Linked DNA regions of Sus scrofa. The protein of the gene in region 1 purifies or fractionates together with the protein of each later gene. This does not show direct contact. Links are inferred from orthologs where the notes say so. Each region holds a gene or a part of one and is shown on either strand. Other genes may lie near its edges.

Region 1 (5,307 bases):
TCAGCTCTCCTAGCACCTAAAAGAAATTGGCCTGTTGCTTTGGAAAGATTTCGAATCCCTATCCCTGGCCCTGCATTCCTATAGAACCCAAATAAGGGCACAATAACCCTTGATTCCCACTGAGGGTAGAAAGTAGGTCAGCACTACTGTCTGGCTAAGTCTCGTGGCTGGTGTTTAGGGCCTGACTATAGAAAACTCTAATTATTGCTCACAGGCAATACATGCATGACCTGGGTTCCAGGTCAGTTCATAAAACCTGGGGCTCTGTCAGTGTATTCTCCTATTGAGAAAAACTCAAGAGATCAGATTCTTGGGACCCGGTTTAGTGAGGAAATGACTCAAGAGATTTTGACTGGACCCAGAAAGGTCTTTCAATGCATTTTGTTGATTTGAGGCTACCCTCTGGGGAAACTTTCCCTGCTCGGGAATTCAGCTTCAATTTGGGCCTTTTTGTATGTCGCTGTCTTTCCATCCTGGAAACTGCTATGTGCAAAGCACTTTTTTGGTTTTGGTTTTGTTTGGGGGGAGAAAGCTTTGCCCAATTCCTACTCTGCTCGACTCCAATATGAGGTCAGCCTTCCATGAGGTATTTTGTTTATGATCCTATAGGCAGTGTTCGGGGCCCTAGAATCTTCTCAGAATCAGAGTATGTGCCCATAGGTTAGTCAGCTATGACCATGCAGTATTCCCAGCCTCCCCCCTCCTCCCCCACCATCTGCTTCCTCTGAATATACCAGATTGGCTGTACACCAGGATGTTCCGGGAATCCCCAGGAGAGCAACAGAATGTGATGGACCCAAATACGATGCCTCAGTAACTCATTCCAGGATGTACAAACTGTAACTGTCAGGGCACTCCTTATAGCTAATTAAAATTCTTCTAGTTACATCTATTTTCTATTACATCTATCTATCTTTGGTGACATCCAAAAGGCCAAAATAATTCCTCTGGTACCTCTGCTTTTTTCTCCTGCTGTGGTTTTCAGATAGGAATTTTTAAAAATCCTGTGACGTTTCTCAGTGCCTTATCTATGGCTCTAAAATGGCAAATGTGGCCCCTCTAGCACTTCATAGCTCTATCTATGGTACTGAGGTGGCCAAAGTGGCTCCTCTGGTAGCCCACTGCACTCTCCATGGTACTGAAGGAATGACCATTTGTTTTAATGTCTCTCGGGGGTCCAGAAGAGTCCTATGACTCAGAACCACAAAAGTTTCAAACTGGAAGGGACCATCAGTATAAATTAGTCCAACCCCCTTATTTTACAGATGAGTACAGTGGGAGGTTAAATGACTTACTGAAGGTTGCAGGGCTACTGATGGTCTGACTAGGCCCATTATAGTCTTGCACCCCTCAGTCCTTCCCTAATTCATCTTTCATGATACTGCTCAGTGAACCCCGCTAAGCTCTTGGCCCCAGGCAAGGGGTTTATTTGGGGATCCAGAAAATGAGAGTGGATGCCCTAATTTGGAGCTGCAGAAATATAGATATTAAAAGTAGTGGCGGCGTTTGTTTAGTGACCCTCGAACAAAGACATTTTGTTAATCTCCTGCTAATAAAATTCCCGTAACCCGGATTCCACATGTAACAGGTTCCATGCCCCTTCATGGAGACATATCTCCATCTATGAAATGTCAAAAATTAAAGAAGCCTTGGACCTCCAGAGCCTTTTCTTTTTGCAGGGCTGTCTCCTGACTCAGTTCTCTTCTATTAAAGATCCTTAAGCAAAGTAATGCTGAGTCCTTTTCTTTTTCAGTAACCTATTTCAGTTTCACAATGCCTATTATAAGGAAGTTCTTTATATCTCAAATATTCTATCTCAGGAAAAAAAAAAAAATAGCTTAGGCCCACATTTGTCTAGCCTTGACCAGATACAATTCTGTATGTAGGCAAGAAAGGTAGACTGGACTACTTCTGGTCATTCTCCTAGGCCTATTTCCATAAACCTTAATTCTGGGGTTGCTTCTCAGTCTTAATGCTAACCTCCTCTGCAGCTTAGAATCAGGAGATCTGCCCCCCCACCCCCCCAGTCCTTTTCCTCTCAGTGCTCTTGTCCTTCCTCAGACCTGGAGCTCTGCACATCCCAGGCCCAGGGAATTTTAGCCTGGAGAATGTTAACCCTTTCCTGCTCAGAGCATGTGCTGAGCCCCTATCTGTGCAGATGGCCCAGCCCCGCCCCCCGTCCCTCACTCCAGCCTCTTGAGCTCAGAGCCAGTGTAATCCTCCTCTTGTGTGAGGGAGCCTCTCCCCTGCAGAGAGGAGGAAAGCCTGCTTCGGAACAGCCCTGGACAAAGGGGCTGAGATGCCCCATCAAACTGCAGGCTCCAAGGTTTGAAACAAGGGGATGAATCCTGTCCGGTATTTGCAGTTTTTAACCCCTTCCCAAGGCCTGCAGCGCCCCTTAACTTCCACTCCTCCCCCAACTCTCTCTTCATTCCCTCTTCCTCTGGCTCTCTCCCCCTTCATGCCCCTCCCCCTCTGTCTGTCTCCAGACTCTGCTGCTGGGAGGTGTTTCTCTCCCATGCATGAATGAGTCTCTGTAATGAATGGAAATGAATGGATCAGGAATCCAGGCAGAGGGAGGAAGAATGAGGGGGAAAGACAGAAAGACAGGGTAAAGGCAGAAGGAAGAACTGTGGAGTCTGGAAGAATGTTTGGCTGGCTGGTCAGTTAGGGGTCTGAGAGCAACTGGTCCCGCTTGGATAACTGAGGAGCCTGGCAAGCCTACCCCATTTGCTCTTCAAGCTGCACAGCCCAACCTAAATAAGAGAAGGGTATACTGTGATGGTCTCCCCCACCAACTCGGTGGGGTTGGGGTGGGGGTGGGTTGTGATGGTGGTGGTGATGATGGTGGTTGTTCTGGACAAGGCATTTAAAAAGGAATAATTTGGGGGAAGAAATCTGGGTTATCAGGGAGCTTTGTGGGCAAATAAAAGAGCACAAGTTTTGAAGATAGCAGCCCCCTCCTGTCTCAGGATGTCAGGAAGAAGGGATAGGTTTCAGCGTGCTAAGAGTCTGGGGTTGGGAGTGACTCTTTCCACTGCTGAAAATCAGGGCTCATCTTTTCCTCCAAATCTGTCTCTCTTGCTTTAGCTCTTCAGCACCTGTTGCCTTCACTAGCAGCTTTTCCTCCTCCTCTTCCCTGCACTCCCCAGAACCAAAGAATGTGAAGGGGGTCCATGGAGGTGAGTGAAGCAGGGGCCTGAACCTACAAGTACCTGCAACTATGCTTCCTCCCCTCCCTACCTCTCTCTCTGGCCTCCCATTATTAGAAGTTATTTCTGTAGCCCCAACAGCTCAATTCCCAGTCATCCCCCAACTTCCTGAGGTGAGTGGGAGGGGCACCCAGTGTTCCTGGTTCAGGCCCCGACCCACCCTCCCTGGGGTTCTTTTGGCTCTCCATGCCCTTGCTTCCCCCACTGCGCTCCATTCTCCACCTTTTTGCCCTACTCACATCTTTCTCCACAGGGTTCACGTCCCCGCGCCCCGGGCGGCCACCTAGCGCCGTCGCCACCGGCCTTCGACGGCGAACTGGATCTGCAGCGCTATTCCAACGGGCCAGGCGTGAGCTCCGGGTCTCCGGGGATGGGAGCAGTGGGCTGGTCTGAGAGTCGCGCGGGCGAACGGCGATTTCCCTGCCCTGTATGCGGGAAGCGCTTCCGATTCAACTCTATCCTGGCTTTGCACCTGCGGGCGCACCCAGGCGCCCAGGCCTTCCAGTGCCCGCATTGCGGGCACCGCGCGGCGCAGCGGGCCCTGCTGCGCTCGCACTTGCGCACGCACCAGCCCGAGCGCCCGCGTAGCCCCGCCGCTCGCCTGTTGCTGGAGTTGGAGGAGCGGGCGCTACTGCGGGAGGCCCGGCTGGGGAGACCCCGAAGCTCAGGGGGCCTGCAGGCCACCCCTGCCACTGAGGCCCTGGGGCGGCCCCAGGCTCCTTCATCGTCCGCTTTCCGTTGCCCCTTCTGCAAGGGCAAGTTTCGCACCGCGGCGGAGCGCGAACGCCACCTGCACATACTGCACAGGCCCTGGAAGTGCGGCCTGTGCAGTTTCGGCTCCAGCCAGGAGGAGGAGCTGCTGCACCATAGCCTGACGGCCCACGGAGCTCCTGATCGCCCCCTGGCGGCCACCTCGGCTGCGCCCCAGCCTCAGCCTCCACCCCAGCCTGAAGCTAGATGCGTCCCGGAGCCCGACCCGGAGCCGGAACGTGAGGCAACACCCGCCCCTGCTCCTGCTGCTCCCGAGGAGCCCCCAGCGCCTCCGGAGTTCCGCTGTCAAGTGTGCGGCCAGAGCTTTACGCAGTCCTGGTTTCTCAAGGGCCACATGCGCAAGCACAAGGCTTCCTTCGATCATGCGTGTCCTGTGTGTGGCCGCTGCTTCAAGGAGCCCTGGTTCCTTAAGAACCACATGAAGGTGCACGCCAGCAAGTTGGGCCCACTGCGTGCCCCGGGGCCTGGTTCTGGGCCTGCCCGGGCCCCCCAGCCTCCTGACCTGGGCCTGCTGGCCTATGAGCCTCTGGGCCCTGCGCTCCTCTTGGCCCCAGCGCCCACACCGGCTGAGCGCCGCGAGCCTCCAAGCCTCCTGGGCTACCTGAGTCTGCGAGCCGGTGAGGCCCGGCCAAATGGTGAGGGCGCTGAGCCTGGGGCTGGCCGCAGCTTTGGAGGTTTCCGCCCACTTCCCTCTGCTCTCCCGGCCCGGGCTCGCCGGCACCGCACTGAGGAGCCAGAAGAGGAAGAGGAGATGGTGGAGACAGAGGAAGAGACCTGGGCCCGGAGCAGGGCGCTGGGCCCTCTGGCCTCACTGCCTCCGCGCCCAGGTGAGGGCTCAGGGCACAATGCGCCTGCTGCGGGGGCCCAGGCAAGGTCCACGACCACGCAGGGTAAGTAAGGGGCCTCCTCTCTCCAAGGTTTTCTGCATCCTGGGCCCACTCCTATGCCACCACCGCTCTTTTGTCCCCCCTTTTAAGAAAGGACCTTTTATTTCTCCCGTCATTCCCCCCTCCCAGTTTTATCTCCTTTTGAGGGTACAGCTCAACTCCCAACAAATCCAACCCTTCAGGTTCCTGCTAACATACTGTGTCCCCCTGGGCGCGGAGGGGAAGCGGTCCTGTGGAGTGGATGTAGGGGCACATGACCCAGATACGGTTAGAGCAAAGTCCCTTTGATTTCCCTTATGTGTGTATTGCAGAAGAGAATGGGCTGTTAGTTGGAGGGACCCGGCCTGAAGGAGGCCGAGGGGCCACCGGCAAGGATTGCCCGTTCTGCGGGAAATCCTTCCGCTCAGCGCATCACCTCAAAGTGCACCTGCGAGTGC
Region 2 (6,091 bases), on another chromosome or scaffold:
TGTCAGTCCACACTACAAAAAAAAACCGTTCAAGTTGTATCAGTTTACAAAAAGAACAGAGAACAATCTTGGTAACATAACTTCAAAAGAGGAGAGCCAGACACCTGTATCTTGGGGGCAACTAGTTTGCTTTAAGATAGGTAACTTTTACGTGCATCTTTTGAATCAATGCTTTAAAAAACAAACACCTGGGTAGTTCCTATTTAAAATGTAAATCCTAATCAACTGCAAAATCTTTTCTCAAATCTTAGAGACTATAGGTTCAGAGCCTAATGAACCATGGGAGGGACAGTAGGAAGGAGAAACCAGATTGTTACCATGTTGAAAACAAAGTTTCATCTGAGCAAGGGAGATGAACTGTAACTTCTCTGGGAAGAAGATGGGAAACCTTCCAGGCTCACAAAGCAGCTAGGACCTGGCGTTCCGTTCAGTTTCAGCCAAGCACTCCCTCACCAAGCCTCTAGCGTGGATGATGCCTGGAAGAGAAGCAGAGGCGGGCATTAGCAGTGGCACCCACTGCGGAAGGGGGAGGGTCCTTTCACAGCCAGCCATGAAGCCCTCAGACCAGAGGAAAACCTGCGTCCAATGACTCAAGTACTAGAGCCATTAAAGGCTCTAAGGGGACTTCCCTGGTGGCTCAGTGGGTTAAAGATCCCATGTTGTTGGAGTTCCCATTGTGGTTCAGCGGGTTACAAACCCAACTAGTATCCACTGGACGCAGGTTCAATCCCTGGCCTCACTCAGTGGGTTAAGGATCCGGCGTTGCCATGAGCTGTGGTGTAGCTTGCAGACATGGCTCAGATCTGGTGTGGCTGTGGTGTAGGCCAGCAGCTATAGCTCCAGTTCAACCCCTCACCTGGGAGCCACCATATGCCTCAGGTGTGGCCCTAAAAAGACAAAAAAAAAAAAAAAATCTGGTGTTGTCACTGCTGCGGCTCGGGTTGCTGCTGTGGTTTGGTGCAGATTTGACTGCTGGCCCAGGAAATTTCCGCATGCCATGGACATGGCCAAAACAAACAAACAAAAGACTTTAAATAATAAATAAATAAAAGGCTCTAACAAATCCCACCCCACCCCTCAAAGCCAAAACTCCTCTTTTAAAAATCTCATTCTGTGCTCAAGGTGACAACCAGGAAGCTCTTTTCATTACTCCCTATTCAAACTATGTTACCATCCAGATGACAAGAGTAAGTGTGTCTCCACCCCAGTTCTTTAAGCCAAACCCTCTGGAGATTCCATGCCCTCAAATCATTATTTTTTCTAAAGTCTAGAAAGGACCTGGCAGTGTCACAGCCTGCCTGGTTCAGGTACAAGAGAACTACTCACTTGGTCCACTGCTTCGTCCTTCCCCAGGGGACCTGCAGCATCTATTCCACTATTATTCGCCCATCATCTTTTATCTCTATGGTTTGGGAGTTATCTATTGTTTGCTTGGGTTTCTTTGGGAGGGGGAGGGCAGGCTTTACTCAACTTCATGAAACATTGATCTCATTTTAATAGGCACAAGAGAATCTATTCCTTTTTTTTTTTTCCAGACTAAAAAAAAAAAAAATCCCTTTATTTTAGTCATTTTGAGCAGCTACAACAGAGTACCATAGTCTGGGTGGCTTAAACAACAAACATTTATTTCTCACAGTTCTGTAGGCTGGGAAATCCAAGATCAGAGAACCTATTCCTTCTAAGAGCTGACCCCCAGAGGGCAATGGAAGTGAGTGACTCCTCAAATCACTCAGGTGTCCCCACCTTACAAATCTTATCCCCCAGAGCTTCTGAGCTTTGAGACCTTCTGTAAAGGGCTATACAAACAGACTCCCAGACAGAGGACAGACTTGTGGTTGCTAAGGGGGAAGGCAGAGGGAGGGAGTGGGATGGAGGGGGAATTGGGGGTTAGTAGATGCAAACTATTCCATTTAGAATGGATAAGCAAGGAGGTCCTGCTGTACAGCACAGGGAACTATATCCAGCCTCTTGGGATAGACCATGAAGGAAAATAATATAAGAAAAGGAATGCATATATATGTATGACTGGGTCACTTTGCTGTATAGCAGAAATTGGCACAACACTGTAAATCAACTATATTTTAATTTAAAGGGGGGGCTGTATAGCCACTGTCACAGCTACTCCACTCTACCGTGACAACAGCAGCAGACATTATGTAAGCAATGGGTGTGGCTACGTTCCAACAATACTTAGAGACACTAAAGTCTGAATATCACATCATTTTTACATGTCACAACATCTTTCTTTTCTTCACCATTAAAAACCACAAAAAACAGTCTTGGCTCCTCTTGGTGCCTGACTCCCTCTTGCCCTATGACCCTTTTTACTTGCTATGACATAAACTTGGCAAGCCTGCTCAGCTTCTGGTCAGGGTGACTGTGGGACCAGCTGCTTCCCCAGGATGTGCCCTAGCTGCCCTGGCGCAATCACTAGGTGTATCCAGGCATGGACTTGAACTGCTGGCTTTGTTGGGTGGCTGCAGATCACCTGTCAGACAGTCTCTGGGGTCCAGCATCTTCCCAGGCATCTCCAATCTGGTAACCAACACCCCAGTTACCAGGACTGGGTGGCATGATGCCCACCTGACCCCCAGGGTTGGATTGGAGGTAAGCTCCCTCCCTCCTCCACGCACTCTTCGTTCCAGCCTCTAACTACCAGTCCCCCTCCCCACACCTGTGCTCTTATTACCCAACCCAGTTCCAAAACAGGTTAGTCTCTTCACAAAGGAGTCATGAACTGGGTAAAGGCCACTGCTTTGGGTAGGGGCCTGACCTCAATCAGCCTTGCCCATCACTGAAGTCACGGCTGCAACTGCAGCACCCCGTACACCCCAGATTTATAACTAAGAAATGTTTCCCTTTCCTATTTCTCCAAAGTTACTTCTCTGACCTTCAGAAAAACAAACAAAAAAACCCGAATCCCTCCTGAAATTAAATTCACACATAAGCCACCACATTCTGAACCACCACCTTCTAAAATAGAAATCCTTTTCTCCCCTCCACTCCCAACCAACCTATTTCACTGCCTGCTGAAGTCAGCTGGCCAGTCACATCTTCACGTGCAATACCTTCTTCCTGTGGTACCATCCTCCAGTGCCCTCCCTCTCTAATCAAGAAATAACTTCAGGAGTTCCTGTCGCTGCTCAGTGGTTAATGAATCCGACTAGGAACCATGGGGTTTCAGGTTCGATCCCTGGCCTCACTCAGTGGGTTAAGGATCTGGCGTTGCCATGAGCTGTGGTGTAGGTCGCAGACGCGGCTCGGATCCTGCGTTGCTGCGGCTCTGGCGTAGGCTGGCGGCTACAGCTCTGATTAGACCCCTAGCTTGGGAATCTCCATATGCCGAGGGAGCGGCCCTAGAAATGGCAAAAAAAACAACAAAAAGAAAAAGAAAAGAAATAACTTCAAAGCCTACTTGCTTTCCCTCCCCAGACTAGCACAGACCACAGCCTCCTGGGGCACTGCTCCAAAAGAGGACAGCAGAGGACCCTGCAGCCCCCAGTCACTGGCCTTGCCCAGAGGAGAAGCCTGTTGTACTGGGTGGCTTGGGGTTCCCTGGGGCCAGCTATGGCCAAAGGGAGCAGAGCAGGCCTGGGGCAGAGCTGTACCATCTGGGTCTAGACTCCCTTCTAAGACAGATGGACCCACCCTTACCCCAGGGAAGCATGCAGGGCGAGGGCTTCCCTTCTTAGACACCCCATCTGACAACTGGCCACCAAGACCCTTCCTGTCAGATCCTCAGGACAGTCTACACTCCACAGACCCAGTCATGCTGCCTGATGCCTCCACATCCAAGGGTAATTCTGTAACAGGGCAGGAACCCCTGTGTCCTGTGCTGCGGGGTACTCTCCTGTCCATCATCCTCCATTTTCAAGAGAGAAAATCTTTCAAGACAGTTACTAGGCCAGAAGCAAAGTGTCACCTGACAGTGGAGTCCAGGCCCATGACCTACCTCGTTTTAGTCTCTCCATTGCGCTCTTGCTGCCTGCATAGGTGGGTCTGATCTCTTTCCCCAGCTCTTCGATGATGGCCAGCAGCTCAGCGTATTTGCTCTGGGGCACCTGGCTGTTACCGGTTCCCTAGAATCAGAAAGAAAGGGTTCAGGGAGTTCCCATTGTGTCTCAGTGGGATACAAACCCAACTAGAATTCATGAGGATGCATGTTCAATTCCTGGCCTCGCTCAGTGGGTTAAGGACCTGGCATTGCCATGGCTGTGGCGTAGGCCAGCAGCTGCAGCTCTGATTCAACCTCTAGCCCAGGAACTTCCATATACCACAGGTGCAGCCCTAAAAGAGGAAAAAAAAAAAAAAAAAAAAAAGTAGTTCAGATAGATTGAGCCCAACCTGACCCCAATGCCATGGTCAAGGCCCCACCACGTGCCAGTCTCGCAAGGGCAGGGGCAGATGGTGGAGGGAAAGTGGCCTGGCCTAAACTCTCAAGGTTCCTGCCTCTGCTAGAGCCAGGTTCGTCCTCTCTGGGGGACAATTACAGACCAGGAGCCGGCACTCCCTACAGTCCCTATGCACTCAGAGAAACCACCCAGCAGTCTACAGAAAGCTGTTATCATCTTAAATGAAAAAAGAAGAAAAAAAAAAAAAAAAAAAAAAAAAGACTGGCTTGTCAACAGGAAAGGGTTCACTGGGAATTTCCTAGGAAGGAGCAGGATGGACGGGCTTGAGGGACGGAGTGAGTGGACGAGATGGAGGCCACACCTGGTTTGGCAGGACTATAAAAACCACCAGAGCCCCAGATATGTTTAATTCATCCATCTTCCCCTACTGGCAGGGCCCACGGCACAGAACTTTCTCTCCAGACCCCTAGCAGCCTGAGGAAACACCCAGATCAATGAGACCAGGTTCCTGCCTGGCTGTGGGCGGAGATTGCCAGTTCGGGCCTCACCCCAACCCTCCCTCTCCCGTCCCCCTCCCCACAGCTGCATCAGAGCAGCTGTGTCCTGACCGGGAGACCCTCGCCTGCTCCTCCCTCCTCTGCTGCCTGTTTCTTGGCTTCCCAATCCTTCCTCCTCTCCTTGTCCTGTTCCTCAGCATCCTCCAGGAGCCTCCTCCGGAATCCGTGGCCCTTCCTCTCCTCTGGCCGCTGCCTCACAGCCAGGGCACTGTGGGGCCTATCCAGGCCACACTTGACACCGTCCTCCCACCACCGCCTCTTCAAAGGGGTCCGCGCCCACTTCCCCTTGGGGGCTAGGACAGCCTGGCGGGGCATGGCCAAGAGCCGCCACCTTATCCCAGAGGCTGGCCTCCATGGCGACCTCGGAACATGAGTTCCAGCCACTACAGGGGAGAACCTCACAGCTGGCAGCCCAGGCACCGAGGGCCCTTGGGGCACCACTTCCTTGGCTTTCTCCACTGATGGCCCCCAAACCCAGTGGGAAGACCAAGTCTCGGCAAGGTTGCCAAGTAGGGGTCATGGTCCTGTAACTGGTGGAACCAGGTGTGAAACTCAGGGGCCCCCAGCTCTCTATGAAACCCACCCGGACTCCACTAGGACATGAGCCCCCACCTCTCTGACGGGGCCACAACCTTGTGGGGAATGAGTGGGAATGGGCACCCCCTGACACCAGCCTCTATCCAAGCTCAGAGCAAGAGTTGAGGCCATACCTCACTTCCCTAGGAACAAAGCATGAAAACCCCCAGGGACATATGTGGGCTGGTGGTCCCAACAGGACTGTGGCTCTTGGAGTTTCCAGCCTCCCACATGCAGCATGTGGAAGTTCCCAGGCCAGGGATTGAACCCGCACCATGGCAGTGACCCAGGCCGCTGCAGTGGCAGCATCAGATCCTTCACCCACTGAGCTATAAGGGAACTCCCATCACCCCTCTGTTCTGAAGCCCTAGCCTTGAGTTGAGGAGGCTCAGATGACCGCTCCATTCCTTCATCTCTACTCCTTCCACAGCTCCCCCTCAGGGCCCAGGCTGCCCTCAGAGCCCCTCCCCCTGGGCATCACCCCCCCTGCTGTACCTGGGTATAGCCTAGAGATGGTGGCCCATAGTCACTCAGCAGCTGGCGGTACTGTGAAGATGTCGCCATACTGGTGGAGGGCGGGTGGACACTCCCAGCTACGGGGAAGGA

Evidence for each region.
Region 2: the proteins of ZNF219 (region 1) and CDK2AP1 purify together in Homo sapiens (affinity purification with mass spectrometry; 3 studies listed by BioGRID and IntAct, counting the BioPlex papers as one, with this or other methods). This does not show direct contact. The link is inferred for Sus scrofa from reciprocal best matches to the Homo sapiens genes ZNF219 and CDK2AP1.

The regions. Positions count from the first base shown.
Region 1 is NC_010449.5:78,036,823-78,042,129, forward strand, and holds part of ZNF219 (zinc finger protein 219), read left to right. Parts: intron 1-3,090; 5' UTR 3,091-3,176; coding exon 3,177-3,182; intron 3,183-3,465; coding exon 3,466-4,873; intron 4,874-5,181; coding exon 5,182-5,307. UniProt on the Homo sapiens protein: Transcriptional regulator. Recognizes and binds 2 copies of the core DNA sequence motif 5'-GGGGG-3'. Binds to the HMGN1 promoter and may repress HMGN1 expression. Regulates SNCA expression in primary cortical neurons.
Region 2 is NC_010456.5:29,635,845-29,641,935, reverse strand, and holds part of CDK2AP1 (cyclin-dependent kinase 2-associated protein 1), read right to left. Parts: intron 6,079-6,091; coding exon 5,981-6,078; intron 4,080-5,980; coding exon 3,953-4,079; intron 477-3,952; coding exon 409-476; 3' UTR 1-408. UniProt on the Homo sapiens protein: Inhibitor of cyclin-dependent kinase CDK2. Also acts as a component of the histone deacetylase NuRD complex which participates in the remodeling of chromatin.